Linked DNA regions of Elephas maximus indicus. The protein of the gene in region 1 interacts with the protein of each later gene in a biochemical or structural test. Links are inferred from orthologs where the notes say so. Each region holds a gene or a part of one and is shown on either strand. Other genes may lie near its edges.

Region 1 (11,837 bases):
AAGACTTGAAGCACTCACTGATGAAGATCAAAGACCACAGCCTTCAGTATGGATTGCACCTCAACATAAAGAAAACAAAAATCCTCACAACTGGACCGATAAGCAACATCATGATAAATGGAGACAAGATTAAGGTTGTCAAGGATTTCATTTTACTTGGATCCACAGTCAACACTCACGGAAGCAGCAGTCTAGAAATCAAAAGGTGAATTGCTTTGGGCAAATATGCTGCAAAAGACCTCTTTAAAGTGTTGAAATGCAAAGATGTCACCTGGAAGACTAAGGTGTGCCTGACTCAAGCCATGGCATTTTCGGTGGCCTCATATGCATGTGAAAGCTGGACATTGAATAAGGAAGACCGAAGAAGAATTGATGCCTTTGAATTGTGGTGTTGGACCACCCAAAGAATGAACAAATCTGTCTTGGCAGGAGTATGGTCAGAATGCTCCTTAGAAGCAAGGATGGCGAGACTATGTCTCACATACTTGGACATATTATCAGGAGGGATAAGTCTTTGGAGAAGGACATCGTGCTTGGTAAACTGAAGGGTCAGCGAAAAAGAGGAAGACCTTCAATGAGATGGATTGACACAGAGACTGCAACAGCGGGCTTAAGCATAGTGATTATGAGGATGTTGCAGGACCGGGCTGTGTTTCGTTCTGTTGTACACAGGGTCACTATGAGTCGGAATCTACTCAATGGCACCTAACAACAGCACTCCATGATATTCAATATTCTTTGCCAACACCATTATTCAAAGGCATCAATTCTTCTTTGGTCTTCCTTATTCATCGCCCAGCTTTTGCATGCATATGAGGCAATCGAGGGCTTCAGTCATGCGCATCTTAGTCCTCAAGGTGACATCTTTGCTTTTTAATGCTTTAAAGAGGTCTTCTGCAGATTTCCCTAATGCTGTGGTTGTCCTTAATTTCTGTGTACCTTTCAGTGTCTTCGTTTACGTTGCTCTCGTTGCGCTGACTTCCCCAGTATTGTGTATTGCCTCTCCCTTCATCAGAATTAACACGTGTCTACTATTACTATCTATTAAGTGATTCCGCCTCCCTCCCCTCCCATACCTGATAACCATCAAAGAATGTTGCTTTGTGTAAGCCTATTCTTGACTTTTATAAAAGTGGTATCATACAATATTTGTCCTTTTGTGATTGATTTATTTCACTTAGCATAATGTCCTCCAGGTTCATCCAAGGTATGTTTCGCAGACTCATCGTTATTCTTTATCGTTGAATAGTATTCCATTGTATGCATGTACCACATTTTGTTTACCTATTCATCTGCTGATAGACATGTAGGTTGTTTCCTTTTTTTTTTTTGCTATTGTTAATAATGCTGCAGTGAAAATGGGTGTACATATATTTGTGTCACTGCTCTTATTTCTCTAGGACATATAACTAGGAGTGGGATTGCTGGGTCATATGGTATTTCTACTTCTAGCTTTTTGAGGAAGTGCCACACCATTTTCCACAGTGGTTGAACCATTTTACAATCCCAGCTCCAATGAATAGGAACTCCAATCTCCCCACAACCTCGCCAGCGTTTGTTTTCTGTTTTTCTGATCAGTGCCATTTTTGCAGGAGTGAGATGGTACCTTATTGTAATTTTTATTTGCATCTCTCTAATGGCTAGGATTTCTACTTCTTAACTCTCGATACTTTTCCAAATGTCTACAGTGAGGAGCATGTATTACTTTGATAATTAGAGAAAGAACAAAGAAAGGAATTTAATGAGGATTGAGTAAATGAAAAGAGAAGCTGCTGAAGGTGTTTGGCTCAGGATCCAGCTCCTCGGCAGACAAGGGAGGGGGCAGGGTAGGGGTGGGGAAAGTCATTAAGTAATTGGTTCCACTTCCCTCCAAGTCTCTCAGAGGCCTCCCAAGTCAGGATTCAGGAAGATTTTACCTCTTTATTCTTGTCTGTTTTTCTTTCCCTTCCCTCTATCTCCCCAGTATTGCATCCCTTTCTGCTTTGGAAGGGATACAATTTAGAAATAAAATCACCATGTATTTTTAGAAGATTGATTATAGAAGATTTGCTGTGCCAGGTTCAATGGGGCCCTTGCCCTTGAGCTTACAAATCCTTCTTGAAACTTTCTCCTTACCCCTCTTAACTGATTTTTAAAACATTTTTTTCTAATAATAATAAAAAAAGTAGTATCTGTTAATTGGAGAAAATTTGGAATACACAAAGAAAAGAGTATAAAAAACTCAACTGTAATCCTACCATCCAGGGACAGCCATTATTAACACTTGGTTTATACTTTTCCAGTCTTTTTTCCTATTCACGGATACACAGATAGAACTCAAGCTCCTTTTCTTTGAACAAAATAGGATACTCTCCCCTAAGAGTATGGCACCGGACGCCCTTTCAACTCAGTACTGAAGTCACCCCTGAGGTTCACCCTTCAGCCAAAGGCTAGACAGGTCTATAGGAAAAACAATAACACACGTAGGAATGTGCTTTGTAGTTCAATCATGTATATGAGACTAATGGGCACACCAGCCCAAAAGCAAAGATGAGAAAGCAGGAAGGGTCATGAAAACTGGATGAATGGAAGCAGGGAACCCAGGGTGAAGGGGCGAATGTTGACACATCACAGTGTTGGCAACCAGTGTCACAAAACAATATGTGTATTGTTTAATGAGAAACTACTTTGCTCTGTAAACTTTTACCTGAAGCACAAAAAAAATTAAATTAAATTAAATTAAAAAAAGGAGAGGAAGAAAATTAACACTAACTAAGAATTAACCTTTAATTTTAAATTACCTCTGTATTTCGGCTAAGACTTTTGTTAAAACATCAAATGATTTTTTTTTAAATCAAGTAGCTAATTTAAAAACAAAAAACAGGCACTCTCTATGTATACTCTGCAAGAATTTTTATTGGGTTGGTATAAAAAAAAAATTTTTTTTTTTTTTTTTATACCTAAGGAGCCCTGGTGGCACAGTGGTTAAAGCATTCGGCTACTAACTGAAATGTTGGTTGTTCATATACCCACCAGCCACTCCATGGAAGATGTAGCTGTCTGCTTCCTTAAAGATTTACAGCCTTGAAAATCCTATGGGGCAGTTTTACTCTGTGCTATATAGGGTCGCTATGAGTTGGAATCGACTCGAAGGCAAAGGGCTTTTTTTGGGGGGGGGGTAGGATCACTATGTGTTGGAATCAAATTAACGGCAATGGGTTTAGCTTATACCTAGCCAAGTGTGTAAAATGTTGATGAATTTTTAACATATGAATCTACAATATTATGATGTTTTCTAAACAAGAGTGTGAACATTTTATACTTGATTAAATGACCTTTGACAGCATAATTTTTAACTGCTAACTAGAATTACAACAGTTGATCATAAGAATGTACCATAATTTATTTAATGAATCCACCATTGTTAGATATTTCAGTTGTTTTTAATTGTTAACTACTGTATTAGTTTACCCTGGTGGCGCACTGGTTAAGAGATTGGCTGTGAACCAAAAGGTCAGCAGTTCAAATCCACCTATGGAAATCCTATGGGGCAGTTCTACTCTGTCCTGTAGGGTCGCTATGAGTCAGAACTGACTTGACGGCAATGGGTTTGTTTTTTTGGTTTTGGTATTAGTTTTCTATCGCTGTTGTAATAGTTTACCATAACTTTAGCGACTTAAAGCAACACCAACTTGTAGTTCCGGAGGTCAGAAGTTTAATATGGATAGGTAGGGCTGAGTTCCTTCTGGAGGCTTTATGGGAGAATCTACTCCTTGCCTTTCCCTATTTTTAGAGGTTACCTGCATTCCTTGGCCACGCCTCACCCTGACCTCGGCTTCTGTCATCACAGAGCCTTCTCTGACTCGGACTCTCTTTTATGAGGACATTGGGTCCACCAGGATAATAAGTGATAATTTTACTATCCCGAGATGCTTGACTCAATCACATCTGCAAAGTCCCATTTGCCATGTAGATTAACATATTCCCAGGTTCCAGGGATTAGCACATGGACATCTTTGGGTGGTTCCAACAGTTAACATGCTCAGCTGCTACCTAAAATGTTGGTGGTTTGAGTCTACCTAATGGTGCCTTGGAAGAAAGGCCTGGTGATCTAATTCTGAAATATTGGCTATTGAAAACCTTATGGAGCACAGTTCTACTCTAGCACACAGGGGGGTCACCGTGAGTTGGAATTGACTCAACGGCTACTGGTTACTGGTAATTCAGACTACCCAGACCCAGTGCCGTTGAGTCGATTCCGACTCATAGTGACCCTATTCAGACTAGCACAACTAAAAATAATGCACTCTTCTATTTGTTTTCCTACCTCTTGCTGTTCTTTCTCCCTCTTATTCGTATTACCCACTAGTTTGGAACTCCATGTCCTCTCTTAAATATTTTGCTTTTCTCTCTCTCTTTATAGGATGTCAGGGTCTTAATGACCATTTCTGATCAACTGACTTATTTTTTCTTCCCCAAGCACCTGCCTTTCTTCCAAATCCCAATACAGTTTCCCTTGAATGTCCCTCTGTGACCATAAAGACAAACTATTTCTAAAACTGAATTCTTCAACCATCTCCCCCACCTTGACCCCAACCTCCTGCACCAACCTAGCTTCAATAAATGTTTTTACAATTATCCACTCTCCCAAACATTCAAGCTGGAGATCTAGGACTCACCTTTCATCCTTCCCTTTCCTCTGTATCTAATCAACCACTAAACCCCATCAATTCTATTGATTCAACATTTCTCTAATTGTTCCTCCTGGCCTTAGTTTGTGAGGAGCCCTGGTGGTGCAGTGGTTAAGGTGATTGACTGCTAACCAAAAGGTCAGCAGTTAGAAACCACCAGCGGCTCCAAGGGAGACAAATGGGGCAGTCTGTTTTGGTAGAGGTTTACTGTCTTAGAAACCCAATGGGTTAGACTATGAGCTGCAATCGACTTGACAGCAGTGGGCAGGGGCCCTAGTTCAGTCCCTTATCTATTACCTAATAACTGTTGCTATAGTGTAGTAGAAGCCTTTCTCCTAATCAAAACATACCACTTATTTCAAGGTAAGGGGGTATTATCCTGTCCTCGAGAAAGCCCTCTGTGACTGCCCCTCCCTGGGATACCATCTCCCCCTCCACAAGAAGTAATCCATAATGAAGTGCCCACTATGTGCTTGAGTTTTTCAGGCTGCATTATTTAATTTAATCTCTGCATTCCTTTAAGGTATTCTTTTAATGTTTAGACAAGGTAACTGAGAAGCTAATATGGGGTCGCTATGAGCCAAAATCGACTGGACAGCAACTAGCAACAACTTTAAAAATCAATGTGCCCTCAGTAGTATTATCATGACTAATGTTGAGCAGAGGAGCTGGCACAGAAAACTGCTGGAGAGCTGAAGAAAATTGGCTTGCAGTGAAACAAAATTATAGCTCATTCATAGTGTAACCCCAAAAACCCATTGCCAAAGAGTCGATTTCGACTCATGGCGACCCTATAGGACAGGGTAGAATTGTCCCGTTGGGTTTCTTAAGCTGTAATCTTTACAGAAGCAGACTGCCCCATCTTTCTCCCCTGGAGCGGCTGGTGGGCTCGAACTCAAGGACCTTTCAGTTAGCAGCCAAGTGCTTAACCACTGGAGCACCCAGGCTTCTTCATAGTGTAATTCACGTAAAGACAATTCAAAGATTTCCATGGATGTCATCTCACTTAACCTTCATTGATTTCTAATGAAGTTACGCAGGCCAGTTCTTTCTTAGTTAATAAAGTAAAAGGTTGGAAGTAGGTGGACTATTAAACCATAGGAATCAGCTAGCTACAGTATGCCTCATTTCCAGCTTCAGGATTGCAAAGGTATATCTAGCACAGAAAAATTTCTTCTTCCTCTTTTAAGGATCAAAGGCAGCTGGCCAAGCTTTCCTAATACTTGGTTGGGACCCCTCAGCATGAATAAGACTTCTGCCTAGGTTTTCCCAGTGTGGCTAGAAAAAAAAGGCTAGAGTAGAGAGCAAATACCTCACAAACTCCAAACAGCTACAGTTAACACTATCAGCAATACGGTGAAAAATGCAAAAGCTGAGCAATCTGTTAACTTGGGGCCCATTATCAATGGGAGGTGAAGTCAGGAAACCGCACGCAGTTTCTTTCTGTGCATTTTGCTAAGGAAAGACTTTCATTAGTTTCTCCCAATGTCCTAACTAAAAAAGGCTAAAAACCACAATCCTTTATGCCTGTTCACACATTCCTTCTGGTTCACGGTTGTGCCTTTATTGGGACACCTTTGGAGAATGATATACATTCCTATTCAGACTGGGTTCTAAGAAGAATCCAAGTGCCCACATCTATTGGAGTCAGGCCTTCTAACTGGACGTATTAGCATTCACCTTCTTGGGGAGGATGTTGCCGGCAGGGCCAAGGGCAGTTGGGAGTGCTAGAAAGCAGTCCGGACTAGGCCATTAACGGGCTGTGTGACCTTGGACAAGTTCCGTGCCCTCTCTGGTCCTCAGTTTCTACAATTGCAAATTGGAAATTGAACCAAATGGTCTCTTAAAATCCTCCCCAACAGAAAGCCTGGTACTAAATAGGCCTAGTTATTAAAGCAGCTTCCTGTGGACGCGGTACAGGGTTTTAACGGTCTCCCTCCCAGGCTCAGACCCGCCAAGTCCTAACTCAACACGCCCCTCGGAGTGACGGCGCTTTCCAAAACCGCAGCCCGAAGCGGCCCCAACACTGCTCCGCCCCTTCCCGGGGGCGTCCCATCGTGCCCCGCGCTAGGCCCCTAAAGCGGCCAGGGGCCTCCCGCCTTTCCGCGGAGTCGACCCCGAACACCTCTCTCCAGTTCTCCCGAGCACCCCAGTCTATCAACGTCTAGTGTCCTAGCCAATCACCCAGGCTCGGAGTCTTGCCTTTGACCCACCCTCCTCCTAGCGGTCAGCCAGTCTGAGCCCACGGCCTTTGCCAGGCCAATCCAATCAGCAGCCGGCTCAGACCTGCCCCACCCCAACCTCCCTTCCCTCGGCCAATCCGCATGCCCCATTCCGCTGCCCGCCCAGCCAACCCGGTCCTTGAAACCAGCGGGCGAATCGGCGCAAGGCGGCCCTTCAACGCTAACCGCCCGGCCAATTGGGGATTCCGCGTGGCCACAGCGGCAGCCAATCGACGTGGAGCGCGGTGCCGCGGCGGAGAGGTCCGGCCCGAATATCCCTCCGCCTCCCTCTCTCCCTCCCTCTCCCTCCCTGCGAGCCGCCGTTCACTTACTGCCTCCCTTCCTTCTTTCTCCCTCCGCCACCCGAGCACCAGCCGCGGTCTGAGCTGCCCCCGGGGTTCCTCCCCCACCGCCAGAAGAGCAGCTGCCGTCGCCGCGAGCCGCACATTAGAAGGGAGGAAGGAAGGAAAGAAGGAAGGAAGGAAAGGGGGCCTGAGTGACTAGCAAGTGGGAGCCGGTGAATGGGCTTGTGGTGACCCCCGCCCCCCACCCCACCCTCCCTTCCCACCCGACCCCCAACCCCCAACCCCAGTTAGAGTCGCCGCCCGAGAGGCCGGACCGTCGTCTTAGGAGGAGTCGGCGCCACCACCTTCGCGATGGAGCTGATCACTATCCTCGAGAAGACCGTATCTCCCGGTAGGACGCGGGGGCCGGGGGGTCGGGCCGAGGCGACTTGAAGTGGGGGAGGGGGAGGCCCTGCCCTTCTGACCCTGTCCCCTTTCCCACTTTCCTTCCCCCTAGATCGCCTGGAACTGGAAGCGGCGCAGAAGTTCCTGGAGCGTGCGGCCGTGGAGAACCTGGTGCGTGCCACCCTGCTCTCCCCCATCCCGCCGTCTTCCCATCTCCTGCGTCCGGGGCCTTCCCGCCCTCCCGGAGGCCCAGGCCTCGGGAACCTACCCCGCCCCATCCCGTCCCCCTCCCCCCGCACCCCGGTCCAACCTAACCCCGCCATCGGGAAGCCGGTGGGTGTGTCCCGCCCCAGGGCCCGGCGACTGGCCAATGGCGCAGCGCGCCGGGGTGACTGCCGCCCAATCGCCGCGCGGCCTGAGGGCGGCGGTGCGGCGGGAGGGAGAAAGAGGGAGGAAAGGGAAGTTAGGTTGCGCGGCGCTGCGTGTTCAGCAAGGGTGGGGGTGGGGGAGCCGGGCCTAGGGGCCATGTGGAAGCTCCGAGCCCAGCTGCCAGCCCTGTTCGGACCTGTGCTGGCTTCTCTTTCCTGTCCCGTGGCCTCTGGGGTTCTCTCCACTTACTTCCCAGAGCTCTGCCTTTTCCTAGCTCCCTTGGTCTGTGCTCATGGCTAGGGCTGGCACCCGAATGCCTCTTAACCCATTCCCGTTAATATTTCTTCCTAGTATACTCGGTTCTTCCTCTCCTGGGTTTTTTTTTTTTTTTTTTTTTCATTGATGAGCAGAGACTTAATCAGTAGGGATTTGCACCCAGACAACAGGCTGGAGCTTATCTTTGAGAAGATCGGGCCTATTTCCTGATGAAATCACAGAGGAAAGTTCCTCGTTTTTCATGTTTTCAAATTTAAAAGGCACAGAAAAAATGAAGATAAGCCCACTAGAGTATAAAGTCTGGCCTGCTGTATAAAAATGATTTCAACAGCCCATGTGCCAGTTAACGTTTCTCTGGTTTTCCTCTCCTGTTGTGGGAATGGGAGGGAGCATAGGGAAGGGTGGCTGATCCTTGACATCTTTTAAAGGTAATAAGCAATGTGTTGGTAACACTGTAACAAAATGTGTTCCTTTGAGTTTTCTAGGCAAAATAATGTAAGCAAAAAAAAAAAAGACAAGGCTTATTTTGTGCAGACTGCCAGTGGATGATGTATTTTGTTCTTATAATTGCTGGTTTTTATTTTTTTACTCTTATGTTTTTTTCTTTTTTTTTAATCTTTCCCCAGGAAAGGTTTTTTCTATTAGTATAGACTGATAACATTCCATAGGAATATATTCCTGTTTCTGCTTTTTATCTTATTTTAAAAATATTTTTTAGTGGTACAACATTTTAGTAAGACTTTTTTTTATTAATTGTGCTGTAAGTGAAAGTTTACAAATCAAGTCAGTCTCTAATATGAGAATTTAAATACACCTTGCTATATAGTCCTAATTGCTCTCCCCCTAATGAGACAGCACACTCCTTCCCCCCACTGTCTCTCTTCGTGTCCATTCGGCCAGCATCTGACCCCCTCTACCCTCTCATCTACCCTCCAGACAGGAGATGCCAACATAGTCTCACGTGACTACTTGATCCAGGAAGCTCATTCTTCACCAGTAGCATTTTCTATCCCATTGTCCAACATTAGTAAGACTTAAGAATATCTTCTGCCGTGACTAGAATTTCAGGTGCCAGGCAGTACTTGATAGTGGAAGAAACTGTCTGCTTTTGGCTTTTTCTGTAAACTTTTCCATTTGGACAGAGCTGCTTTTTTGGAGGGGAAGGGAGCGTGTATGTTAAAATTTTTAAACAAAGGGGGTAGCTTTTCCTAGGGGACCTGTGCATTACAAAAGATCGAGTGTGTCTTTCAGGGCTTCACTATGTTTAGTGCACAACTTAAGTCCAAAATGTAAAGCAGCTTTTATTTAATCTGTTAACTGTTAAATACAAAATCAGTTACCTTGGAACAACTTGCCTTGACTTTTCTTATCTTTTCCACTTAACCTTCTAAATATTTATGAATTCTTCCTTATAAATCTGCTTTTTCCACTGTTCCCCTTTCGCAGATGTAGCCTTATCCGCACTGTAACTAAAATATAGAGGATAGGCTTCTAAGTCTGTTTTAGGACTATTGATAAGTATTTCTCTTTCTTGTTCAAGATTTACTTTCACTAGTCCAAAAGCTACCCTTGGTATCTTTTTCTGACTGAGGTTTTTTTCTGACTGAGGATACTAAGTGACCTGGCCCAGTCAGCAGAGCTGGCCTGAATATTTGAAAATAGTTTTACTTTCTACCCTGTTACAACGTATTCATTCATTCAACAAATATTTATTGACTATCAGGCACTGGTGTAGATGTTTGGGATATTTCAATTGACGTGGAAGAATCCGTTGGCTACCAGATTGCCAGATTTGATTTAGTTCTGGAGATTTAATGTAAAGATTTGGCCATTAAGAAAGGTTTGCTAGGAAAATCTACAACTTCTTGTAAGTACTGTTTGACATTTCATGAGAAGATGGGTGACTTTAATAGGTACATTTTGGGGAATTATCTGAGACATTTATGATTTGCTCAAAAAAAAAAAAAAACAACTTTTCTCAGTGGTGTGGTGCTCATAAGCTATGCTCAGTTGGTGAAATTCTCGAGATGTTTTTATTTGTATATGCATCTCTTAACAGCCCACTTTCCTTGTGGAACTGTCCAGAGTGCTGGCAAATCCAGGAAACAGTCAGGTTGCCAGAGTTGCAGCTGGTCTACAAATCAAGAACTCTTTGACATCTAAGGATCCAGACATCAAGGCACAATATCAGCAGAGATGGCTGGCTATTGATGCTAACGCGCGAAGGGAAGTCAAGAACTATGTAAGTAACGTTCGTCTCCTTTTGGTCATATTCCCTAGGGAACAAGAAACATCTGTCAGCTCTTTTGTCATTTGCATGGAATAGAGCTGACGGTGTGATAGGTTTCTGAGATGTAAACTTGATTTGAAGATAAAAGCTGTATTTGATTTAAATCTTTGTCAGTTCAGCTTGTCCATTCCCATTGATAGATTGCGATCCCCCGCTCCCCCCGCCCCCATAACTTGAGGTGGACTGCAACACTTGGGGAAACTTTAATTAGTTGCCAGAACTGATAATGAAAGGAGTTTATAGAATCTCTTTGGTGAATTGGAGATAAAAATTGGTTTTACCAAACTTGAAGCGATGAGAATCACATAGAGAATTTATTAATGATACGTTCGTCCAGGCTCCCCCCAGAGCTTCTGAGTTGGTAGGTCTGGTGTGAGGCCCAGGAATATTTTTAAAACTGTCTTCCCAAGTGATTCTTCCACAGTTCAAGCGGCACCTAGCTTTTGGTGAACTGCTGTGAGTAATCCTCTTTCTCTGATGGTTTATGCATAGTACTCTGGAGCCAGAGGGCAATTAAATTATCTCTTGGCCCTTTCAAGGCCACAGAGTTTGCAAAATATTATTATGGCCGTTAAAGATGCTTTTATTTATTTGCAAATTATGAAAAACTTTCTTTAGAAACACCTGCCTCTTTCAAGGCATTGGAAAACTGAAATGATGAATTTTCCCAATATTTGAGGAAAGTCGAATGTCCCTTATTGCTTTGCATCATGGAGTTCTTGTGACTTGAGATAAAAATGCATGATTGAAGATGAAACAAAGGATTTGGAGTATACGAACAGATGTGCTCCTTTTTTTTTTTTTTAATTAGCGAGGTTCTTTAGTGGCTTGTATTACAGGGATAAAAGGCACAAGGGTGAGTCAGTTTAGCATCTGTGCAGTCATCAGTTGGTCTTTGGTTTTTGAGGGGAAACCATTAGGGGATTCCTATGTGTGTGTATGTGCAGGTCAAGGTTATGCACCTTACTTGCCATTTCCTTGTTGTGTCAGCATTAGGTAAATTAGTGATCCTTAAGACAGCAAATCTTTCTTTCTAGTTACGTACCTCCTTCCTTTTTCAGTCTTGCATGGAGGGGCCCACGACAGGGAACTAGGTTATGAAAGCGAGCTTATTTTGAATCTTTCTTGGAATACGTGAAGCTCTTTCTATCTACGTAGCGTCTTACGTAATAACGTTTTGATACCCCTTCTCCTCAGCAATTTGACATAAATGAAATTTATTCCATTATCTTGATGGTTATCGTGCCCGTTTGATTTCTCATTTCCTCTTGAATTACATAATAATAAGACAAAATGGGAATGGTAATTGACTTTTTTTGGC
Region 2 (11,603 bases), on another chromosome or scaffold:
CAGTTAAGTCAACCCCATGTGTGTCAGAGTAGAACTGCACTCATAGGGTTTTCAATGGCTGATTTTCAGAAGTAGTTTGCCAGGCCTTTCTTCTGAGGCACCTCTGGGTGGACTCGAACTTTCAACCTTTCGGTTAGCAGACAAGCATGACAACAATTCATGTCACCCAGGAACTTCAAACGCTCTAACAAATCCATAGAATTATGCTGGTGGCAGGAGACTTAGAAATCATCTAGCTCAACCTGCTTGTTTTACAGGTGGGGAAACTGTGACTCAGAGGCAAAGAAAGGTGTTCAAGGACACACAGGAAGTCACTAAAATTCCAAGACAGTGCTCTTCTCCAAGGTACCATTTGGTTCTAAATTTAGACTATTGTAAAATTATAACTAAGGTCTAGAATCATAACCTTAAAACGTGGTGAAGTCCTTAAGTATATTCTGGATTATCGAAAGATTAAAATATGCTTCCTACAGTTTAACATTGTTTATTTTATTATAGTCTAATTATTTGAAAATTATACTGTAGGTGTAATGCATGTATTTCGAGCCCATCAGCCCATTATTATACAATGAGAGCATCTTATTTGCATTATCCACTTTATTATGTATAAGTCTTCATGGGCCCACTTTCCAGACATTAGCCCCCTCTAAGTGTCCTCAGCTATTTCTGAATGCTTCCCAGGTTCTTCCTCGCTGACTTCTCACCTTAATGCTGTGTCTGCTGCTACTGACTGTCAGGAGATCATTGCTCTACTGGGCACAGCATTATCCACAGCTGACACCCCTTGGAGAGGGGCCATCCCTTGGAGAGGAGGCCTCGCTTTCCTAGAGCCCCAAGAAATGTATTTCTTCTTTGGGGAAGCTGGAGGTCTTTGTCACCACCATCCTAGGTGTTGGCCACACCAGGAACCACTTGTGTTTCTGTGCTTGAGTCCTTTCATTGTTCCTGCTGCCGTTACAGACCCCAGAATCAGAGCCCTATTCTCCCACCTGTCCCAGAGAGAGAGGGAGATGATCATTTCAACCATGCAGGGTTCTCGGGGGGCTAGAGATGATGTATGTAAATGCCTGGCACACAGTTCATAGTCAGTAAATGGAAACTCTTATTATTGTTTTAGCCTTCTTTACCACCTACGTTTTTAAGAGCTGGGTAAGGAGCCTGTATGGTGCAAGTGGTTTGCAATCAGATGCTAACGTAAAGGTTAGCGTTCAAACCCACCCGGTGGCTACACAAAAGAAAGGTCTGATGAACTGCTTCCATAAAGATTACAGCCAAGAAAACACTATGGAGCAGTTCTACTTTGTACTACATGGGGTCGCTATGAGTTGGGGGCCACCTTGACTGGACGGCAGCTAACAACAGTTGGATTGATTGATTTGAATGTTATTTCCTTCGGTTTTCTGTATTTGCTTTGTTTCAGGTGCTCTTAGAGAGTAGTAAAGTAGCCAAAAGGTGATCGTGAGGGAAGGAGAGAGTTCATACATTTATTCATTAGTCCATTTATTCATTCAACAAACATGCATTGAGATCCAATTATTCTTGGGAAAACACAAATACGTACAAGCCATTTTAAGGGTTTATAGGTAAGCAAAAGAAAAAAGATGCTACACACATTGCAGCAACACAAAACAGTGTGTTGCTGCAATTTGTGTAGCGTCAGTTTTCCTAGAAAAGTCCTTCGGAGATTCATAGAGAAAAGATACCACTCCTGGTTGGAAAAATAGTAGCAACTATCAATAGTTGTTACTATAAAAAATAATACATTAGTATTTTTAGTACTTTAAAGTACTAAGTTTAAAGTACTTTTGTAGTAGGGTAACAAGTATTTTAGTAATTAACATAATGTTTATTATAGTCTAATTATTGGAAAATTATGGTGTAGAAGTAATGCACGTGTCCCGGTCCCATCACTTCAGTAGTATAAAATGAGATGACCTTAAAGTAATTTAAAGTGCTTGCAAGCGCATTTTAGAGTTTGACTCTCACAAAATTCCCACGATACAGAATCCTCTTTTGGAGATGAGAAGAGGATTCAGGGAAGATAAGTGGGCTGCCTGGGTTTGGTCTGTTAGGAAGTCAGCACTAGAGCCTGAGTTTTCAGATTCTTGAGTTCTCACCACTACACCATTCTGGGAAAGCTTCACGGAGGAGGTGACCACTTCAGCTGGGCATTTAAAGAGGGGTCGATTTTGACAGACAGAGATGAGGGCAGGGCCTTCTAGGAAAACTGAACAGAAAAGATGTCAATGCTGGAAAGGTCAAGGCATATTTGGGACAGGGTGAGTAGAACATGTTAGCTGAAACATCAGCTATGTGCAGGGAAGCCAGAACTAGGAAAGGTGTTCTGTAACGGGGCCAAATCACATATGATCTTAACCACCAGACTGAGGAGTTTATAAATGGTTTGGGAGATAATGGTGGAGAGAGGGGGTGTCCTGATCACAGAGTAGAGGTGAAGCCAGGAAGTCTGGGGAAGGGAGTCAGCTTGTTGCAGGGAGGATGGAGGAGGCAGGGAGACCAGTTAGGAGGTGTTATGCTAGTCTTACTCGATGGCTATGGGCTTTGGTTTTTGTTTTCTTTTTTGGTTAAGGTAGTCTCGATGGCGCAAACAGCAAAGAGCTCGACTACCTGCTGAAAGGCTGGAGGTTTAAGCCTATCCAGAGGCACCTCAGAAGAAAGGTCTGGTGATCTGCTTCTGAAAGGTCATAGCCATGAAAACCCTGTGAAGCAGTTCTACTCTGCACCTGTGAGGTCACCAGAATCAACTCCACAGCAACTAACAAAAACAACATGATAGTCTCGTGGGTGGTGTGGGAAGGAGAGACACCGAAGGGTGAATTTACAGTGAAGGTAGGAAGCAAAGCTGGTTCTTAGCTCTCAGTGGAGTCTCTACGGGAGTGGTTACGCTGTTAACATAGGGAATTTGCAGAGAAAAGGTAGCTTAGTAGAAAAATTATGAACTCCTTTTTGTTGTGTGTGTGTTTCCTGTTGAGTATTGGCACCCAGCTGCCCCCTAGCATGACTCCCAACGCCTTGGCAAGGTAAACAGTGAGTCAGAGGGTGAAGACAGGGTAGCCTGACCACCAGGCTGAGAACCCTCCTTCCTGGTCTGGAGGCACAGGTTCTAGTGAGCAGGACCCTTTGGCCCCAAGGACTCCTTTCCTTACGGGGAGAGTGCAGCCAGAGGGAGCAAGAGTGAGGTTCTCTAAAGGGAGGCCCCTTGCCCAGATCTAACCTTGTCATCTTTATTCCTTGCCATTATCCCTGGTAACTTCAGCATCCGCAAACCTGGTACCCTGGCCAGAGAGTTTCTCCACAGCCTTAACTACACCAAGTGTCTACCTCATATAGTGCCCACCAGACCTTGGAGCCCTTAACCTCTAGGAAATAACCATCTCCAGTGACTCAAATTTTGTGCTTCTAATTGCTAATTGGAGCCCTGGTGGCATAGTGGTTAAGTGTTGTGGCTGATAACCAAAAGGTTGGCAATTTGAATCCAACAGCTGCTTCTTGGAAACCCTGTGGGACAGCTCTACTCTGTCCCATAGGGTCACTATGAGTCAGAATTGACTTGATGGCAACGGGTTTGGTTTTTTGGCTTAATTGCTGATTATATCCTCTTTGCTCACTGGCCTTTGCCCTTGCCCTGGAATTTCTCCTGAAAGCTCTTCTTTTACATGGATTTATTTTCCAAATATATTTTGAGTATTCACCACATAACTAGCATCATATTCATCAGGAACCTGTATTAAGAGGCAGGGGAGTAGGAAAAGGGAAGGGACTTGGTAGGTTGGTAGGGGGGACTGGCACCTATGTCTCTACACCATGGGATTCCCTGTCGAAATGGCATTAAGTCTGCTTCCAGGTCTTCTCAAGTCTCTTCCCTGGGTCCATCCTCCAGGGGGCATGTCATGCCACTGCTTTGTTCTCTCTAGGCTGAGCAGTCCCTGGGTGGTGCAAATGGTTAACATGCTTATCTGCTCACCGACAGGCTGGAGGTTCGAGTCCACCCAGAGGCACCTTGGAAAAAGGACTTGGCGATCTGCTTCTGAAAATCAGAAAACCCTATGGAGCACAGTTCCACTCTTACACACATGGGGTTACCATGAGTCAGAGCTGACTTGATGGCAACTGACTGAGGCCTGACCAATGGCAAGGGCCACCTCTTCAGGGAGTAGGGGGATGCTGACAGCTTTGGGGGTGCGTGGGCAGAACTTGAATGTTATGTGCAGGGGTATGCACACATATTCTTAAAGTCTGTTCCAGAGGGGGACAGAACCAGGATATGGGAAAGAAGGGGAACAGAAAGTGGGCTGTGGGCTGGGCTGGGGTCCTGCCCTCTTTGAGCTGCCACATTCTGAAGCAGAATTCCAAGAAGTCAAGAAATTTAAATGTGAACCCAGACTTCCAGGTTGTTAAAGAGGTGCATTTGTGAATGTAGGAGGCTAGGATGTATTTTATTCAAGGTTGTGTGCTTGATTTATAACTTTTAAATATTCAGACATATGCTATGCGGACTTCCATTTGCACTAAGTTCCTCAAATGTTAAGAGTCAAGAGTTGGCAGGTTATAAAGGTCTCCCTGCTATGAGCCTTGAGCTTTCTTCTCCTTTCTTAACATCCATACTTTTTGGGTGATTACTTATTTCATTTTCTGTCTTCTCTGATAGATGTGAATCTGTGTGGAGGCAGGAACCAGGCTATCCTGTTTACAAAGCATCCTACTGCTAGTACAATGGCTGACACATAGTAAGCACTCATTAAGCGTGCCACAGACTAAACTGAGTGATGAAAGATGTACACATTTGATGACAGCAGATAGGGTAAAGAGATGATAAACCAAAACCAAACCTGCTGCCGTCTAGTTGATTCCGACTCATAGTGACCCTACAGTACAGAGAACTGCCCCATAGGGCTTCCAAGGAGTGCCTGGTGGATTCGAACTGCCAACCTTTTGGTTAGCAGCTGTAGTTCTTAACCACTACACCACCAGGGTCTCCAGAAGGGGATAAGGTGAACTGAATAGAGAACCCTTTGCTAAAGTAGAATAGAGATTGAACAACAGTCTAGAAACCTCTCTCCCTTCCTTCTCAGTGAATCAGGGAGAGTGGCAAACATGCAACCTCTGTCTCCTTAAGAACCAGAGTTGAAGTAATCTATTCTCAGACTTTTGTTTTTTTCTTTCAAATGAGTATTGGACTAGGATCAGGTATTGCAAGCTGGGGGTCAAGTTCCAAAGTGCCTGGACCGCTGAAGAGCATTGAAAATATGAGTCAACATTTAAAAAAGATTTAAGAAAAAAAATTCAGGTTTTGGTTTCCCTTGAAAATTTGTAACTCTGGCAACCCTCGGCCACATTCCAATATGGCAACAGTGGTCTGGAGCCTTAAAGGGCCTGTGTTTATCAAGAGGCCACATGTCACCCTCACCAAAAGAATGCCCCTGGACAGCGTGGCCAGCTCCACTTGGCTCTCTGCCTGGCCACTGAAGGCCTCTGAGTTTATGACCCCTGCACCTCTAACTCTTTAAGGTTCCTTCGGTGGCATAGTGGTTAAGAGCTACGGCTGCTAACCAGAAGGTCAGCAGTTTGAATCCACCAGGCTCTCCCTGGAAGCTCCATGGGGCAGTTCTACTTTGTCTTTATAGGGTCGCTATGAGTCAGAATCGAGGTGAAGGCAGGGGTTTGTTTTAAAAGATTGTCTTCATCCGTTAATCTCTCCATGGTTATATTTCTACCAACCTTTGAATGATCTCAGTTTATTTGAATTACATGTACTATAACATGGCATGCCTACTTATATGTGGCATAGATTCGGAAATGGAATTATCTCACAAGCCCATCGGCTCCAGAAAGCAGCTCTCTATTAGTGTTATTGATCCAAATTTCCCTCGATTATTTCTCAGATGACGCTACGGGGAGATGCTAGAATGGAGAGTCAGCAGACTGGAGATTGACTGCTGCTTGAAGACTGAGGTTATGTGTGGAGACCGCGGAAAAAGAGGTGTGAGAACTGCAGCAGAGTGGGTGTTGTAGAATCGGGCCTGGGAGGATGATGAAGAAACAGCAAGTTGCGAAAGCGGTATAATTTGTTCAACGAGCATTTACTGGGTACCTTCGACGTGCTAGGCACTGTTTTGACGTGAGGGATTCAGTAATAAATTAAAATCCCTGCACTCATCGAGTTTAATCCGGGCACAAGAAGTCAGGTAACATACACATGGACCCACATATCACATGCAGACTAATGTACGTGTCAGGTGGAAATAAATTCTATTTATAAAACCAAAGCAGAGCAAGGGAACAGCGAATGAGGGTGGCTGCTATTTCAGGGGACCCAAAGAAGTGGGCGAGCAAAGAACGCACCATGGTTCTTCTCTAATTTTCCAGGCTACAGAGGGCGAAGTGTGCCTTCCATGACGCCCCGCCCCCTCTCCCTCCCAATAGGGCGCAAGGTGCATCTCCAGGGAAGCACCTCCCTCTGCCCCGCCCAGAGGCGGTATTGGGGGCGGGGCTTCGCTCCTCGGCACTCGGCCGCCCCGCCGAGAGCCCTAGAGCGCAGGAATCCCGGCATTCTCCTCGTTCTCTCACAGGGCTGGAGAGTTACCCCCGGCCGGAGCCTGGCATGCTGGGAACTGTAGTTTCCGCCCGCCGCTCTCGTCTGGGGATTGGTAAAAGCCGCTGAATCCGGCTCCATTTCTGGCAGATAATTTGCAGCCCCGAGGGGTTATGGGGGAGGCCTTCCCAAGGGGCTGGGGTCATCCCAAGAACCAACCGGACACATCCAGCCGGGCGAGCGTCCAGGCGGGTCCCTGCTCTCAGTCACGTGTCCCCAGCCTCCCCCGGCGCACGCCGCTCCCCGGAGCCGTTCCCGCCACGCCCCGCCTGGCCGTCGGCCGCGCCTCCTCCGGCGCTGCCGCCACCTCGCGCTAGGAGGCGTCACGGAACGTGCTCTCCTCTCCCCCTCCCCCTCCCTCCCTCCCACTCTCCCCCACCTCCCCCTCCCGCGCCGACTCTCGCCGCCGCCGCCGCCGCAGCCGCAGGAGTAGCCGCCCACGGAGCCGCGCGCAGCCATGGCCGAGAACCCCGGCTTGGAGAACCACCGCATCAAGAGCTTCAAGAACAAGGGCCGCGATGTGGAAGTGAGTGTGCTTCCGCGGTCTGGGCCTCGCGGCTCGCCCGCCCGCCCGGCCGCGCCAGCCCGGCGGCGGCGGGAGGGGCGGGGGGCGGGCGCCGGGCTGGTTCTCGCCGGCTCGCGGTCGGTCGGAGTTGGCCGCCGCCTCCCGTCACCGGGGCCCGGGGCTGGGCAAAGCGGGCGGCGGGGCGAGGGCCGGGCTGCAGCCGCCCTCCGGAGCTGCCGGCGCGGCGACAGGGAAATGCCGGGGCTTTCGGCCCCGTCACGCGGGCGCGGCCTGGTGTCGGCGAGGAAGGGATGTGGAGCTGAGGCGGGGTCCGCGGGCTGGGGCCGCGCGGACGGCGATGCTGCGGCCCGGGCCGGGACCCGCATCGCCGAGGGGCGGCCGCGGCTGGCGCCCACTGCCGCTCACCTCCGCTCGGCGCAGCCTCCCGGTGCCTCCCGCGCTGCCGCACATGGAGCCGCGGCTCTGCCGGTCCCCTCGCCTACCTTGGAGAGCCGGGCCCAGGCGGGCGGCGGCGGCCCGCAGAGGGGGGTGGGGACCAGCCGGGTAACTGACTTGTTTGAGGGTGGTGGGTGGGGGAGGGTAGGATGCGCCAGGACCATTTTCATGTATTCCAGTGCTGTCCTTTGGGCCAGTCGTGCTGTGCTTTTCCAGCCCCTATTCTGTTCCTTCTGGCATTTGGAGCATACAGGAGGTGGACAGTAGTTTACCATCTATTGTGTCGAGGCTTTGGAGGAGAGGTTTTTCTCACCTCCGCTTGTAGGACCTGTTTTCCTAGCGTTTCTTGGAGTAGGGTGTGCATCGGGTGATTTCTTTGCAGTGTTTTACTGAAATAAATTGAATACATAGGTTCATTCGACCTTGTATACCTCTTGGTCCAAGCTGGTAGGGTTTCCAAGTGGTTACAAAACTGTAAACATTCATCGCGGTCGCTCAGTTTGTTGCTACTCAGCTTGTTGCCATTGTCTCGTTGAGGTGACATTAGCAGGTACTATTTGCAAATCGGGCTTATCAAGGCAGCGCTAGAGGTCTCTCTGCAGCTACTAATAGCTGTGAAGTATAATGCACAAACTTCACTGGGACTCTGACCTCCGGATTTGTTAGGGGGAGAATGTTTTTAAGTCCACAGCCTCCTTTTGTAATTCGAGGTGGCATGAATTGCCGCTCTGTGATTGTTCCCAAGGGGCCAGTGCGATTAAGAAGTGCGTGTTTTGTCCCGTCTTAAAGAGGGAAGGTGGTGGGGAAAAGATACTATTCAGTGTTTTTTTGTAGAGGAACAGACGAAACTCAGGCCATTTTTCAGAGGTGCAGAGTTAAATACTAACTGGAAAAAACCCTAGGGAAATATCTGTGGAATTCCCATTTGAATGAGACAAATAAAGGTCATCTCTCTCTGTCCTGGTCTTGGTTAAAATTTCCTTTGTGAGAAATACATCTAAGTGAAAGTGAAATTTAGAAATAGCAAGAGGAAATTTTGGAACTATCTCCTGCAATTGGTTCACTTGATGATAGGAGTTAAGTTTTAACTTTCTCCATCAGTAGTTTTCTTGAAGCTACCACTACTGTAAAGCAAAGCTTGTGTAGCCTTAAAAAATACCTTTTGTACAGAAGAACTAATAACATTCTTTCTTGCTTTTCTTGGTTATTGGTACAGGTTTTTGTCTGCCCCTGTTCTATGTTCCAGGAGTGCAGTGATACTTATTAAGGACTCCTGAACGTAATAGGTACACAGAAGTATTTGCTGCTGATCAGAAGGTGACCAGTGACTTTTGGATGCCTGAAAAAGACAGCATGGTTCCTTGAAAATATTAATTACACCAGCATCACACTTCCAGGATACATTAGAATACCTAAGGGCCTGAAATAGCAGATATTCAGATGGTAGTTGTACGTGGCAGACGCTATACTGAGAGCTTCGTGATATCTCATTTAATGGTGTTATAAGCCAGGTATAGCATTATCCCCACTACCTGAGGAGAGTATTTTAGATGAGGAAGTTCAGGGTGGTTATGTAGCCTACACAAGGTCACGCAGTGGGTATGAGTGTTCATTCACTGACTTTCTATTGGGTGTCTTAAGAGTGTGCCCAGCCAACGCAATATTAGGTCTTGGGGATAGAAAAGTAAATATAATTCAGTGTGTGCCTTCCAGGAGCTGACAGTCTAGTGCGGGTGATAGAAGAGTAAACTGATGATTACAGTGCAGTATCTCCACCAGGGTTATGGTATAGGTACTCTGAGAATGCATGAGAAGACCCTAACTTGGAGCTGAGGGTCAGGGGAGATGTTCCCGTGGATTCTTAATGCATGAATGGGAGTGAGAAGGATGAAGGAAAAGACCTCCAGGCCAAGGGCTGGAGGAGGGGGAGGGGAAGGAAGACACAGTCCAGAATGAGGGTACAGTAATGGAAGAGTTCTGAGAGAAGGTAGCAAGACTGCTGTGTCTCTGAGAGAAAAGGGAGTGCCAGAGATGTGATTAAAGATGGTTTGGGGTCAAATCTGATCAAATGCCGTTATTGTGGATTTAGGCATAATTAAGACTAGACCCCTGCCCGCCAATGTAATTTAGTCTTTGCCTTTAGAAACTTGTACTACAACTTAGCTCTGTGACTAAGTAGTTGGTGATTATCAGGCTGTTCCCAAACAGGAGATGCACTTTGATGAGATATTCCTACCTTCTCATAAAGAGGATGGACAAAAGATCAGACATATTATAAACTATGCAACCAGCTGATATACAAATAAGATGCTAAGTGCAGGGATAAATATTTTCTAAAGAAAAGTGTAGAATTGTGTCAGGACATTGTGGGTGGGGAGAGGGTGGAGGAGGAAATCATTTCATAGTCATTCAGTCAAGAATGGCTTCATAGAAAGATTTTAAGAGATCCTTGGAGAGGAAAAAAAGCAAGGTTGGTAAATCTTAAAGGACTTGAAAGGTGCTCGTGAGAAGTTAGTGACTAAAAATCTAGGTGAAAAAAGAGATTAGGGAGTGAAGAGATAAGATTTGCAAATGTCCTGTGGTGGTCTGAGAATATGCCTTGTGACAAAGAGTTGGTTGGAAGCCTTTTCTTGATAGGAAGATTTATTTATCTCAGAGCAGAGTTAGAAGCTGTAACATGATTAGAGCAGTGGAAAGGGTGACTGACAGTAACGTCTTCAATTCGTTCTGGAGGAGTAGTGTTGTGATCCAGTCTGCAAGGAGGAATTTTCTAAAAATGAGTTGGACGTAGTCTGGAATGAGGTTGGGATTTTCTTCTTTTCTTTTTTGATTTGTGTTTAAGTGCAAAGCTCACAGAGAGGAAGTGGTTAAAGATTTTCCTAAGGTTTTTAGATAGAGATGGGGAGGGAATAATTATCACTGATAGCAATTGGGAGCTTGAGTAGGGGAATGGAATTTGTAGGTAAAACTAGGAAATACACAATGAAAGGGAAACTCTTAATTACTTTTATTTAGGCTGGAATGTGTGCTTCAATACTAGACCTTTTCACATAAGGCATTGATTCTTATTTTCTCACATTTTAAAGAAGTATTTAAAAATCTTCAAACATGAGTATAGGAAAGTTCTGTCCAGTGAGTGCTTATAAACACCTAGGTAACTGTCACTCAGGTCAATTTTTCTTTTTCTTGCTCCTGTATACCTCAAGGATGTGACAACATTTTCATCAGTTACAGTAGTTAATATAAGTGCCACATAAGGCCCTACCTTTTTTTTTTTTTTTTTTTTTTTACCTCATCTGCCACTTTTCCTTATATCTCTTTTGTGCCTGCCATGATAAAATGTTCAGGATGGTGGAGTAACCAGTAGATTTCATCTCCATGCCTTTGTATATGCTCTTCTTTTGTGTGTGTGTGTGTGTGTACAAGCTATTCTATATGCCTTCTTTGGCTATATGTTGAATTGTTCTTACCTTGGCAAAATCTTTCTTCGCTCAGACTCCTTCACGAATTTCTGGAATACTAAGTTTACAATTCTGTTACACAATGCCATTCTGTTTTTTTTAAAAAAAAAAAGACCTTCAGAAGTTCTCTACAAGGCCTTTCCTGACTAATAACATACTTGGTATCATCAGTGCTTATTCTTTTTCTCCTTTCCCTCTAATGCTTTCCTAAGTGAATTTTCCTTCACCTATTTGGATGATTTGCTGGAATGTGCCACAAATTATGTATGTGGCTAGCTATTAAAGTATGTGGGCTCTGTCAAGAAGCCCACTGAGGGCAGAGGCTTTGGGCTGTGGTTGGTCATTTAGTGCCCAGTACATAAAATTTCATAAATGTTCTTTGAGAAGAGAGACTAAACACTGGACATTTTGGGAATAATAGGTATGGTATTATTCTGAGATATTAGTAATTTCTTTTGGTTTTGACTCCATGGTATTGATACTGTTGCCTAGCCCTTCTCTGGCAGCCTGCTCTGCTGTAATGTATTTCAGTAACACAAACTAACTTGTACTTGAACGGCAAATAGAG

What was found.
Region 2: the proteins of KPNB1 (region 1) and KPNA3 form a complex in vitro, tested with the Homo sapiens proteins (2 studies listed by BioGRID and IntAct, with this or other methods). The link is inferred for Elephas maximus indicus from reciprocal best matches to the Homo sapiens genes KPNB1 and KPNA3.

The regions. Positions count from the first base shown.
Region 1 is NC_064837.1:45,772,631-45,784,467, reverse strand, and holds the start of KPNB1 (importin subunit beta-1), read left to right. Parts: upstream 1-7,184; 5' UTR 7,185-7,548; coding exon 7,549-7,588; intron 7,589-7,693; coding exon 7,694-7,752; intron 7,753-10,285; coding exon 10,286-10,468; intron 10,469-11,837.
Region 2 is NC_064832.1:28,638,140-28,649,742, forward strand, and holds the start of KPNA3 (importin subunit alpha-4), read left to right. Parts: upstream 1-6,981; 5' UTR 6,982-7,070; coding exon 7,071-7,139; intron 7,140-11,603. UniProt on the Homo sapiens protein: Functions in nuclear protein import as an adapter protein for nuclear receptor KPNB1. Binds specifically and directly to substrates containing either a simple or bipartite NLS motif.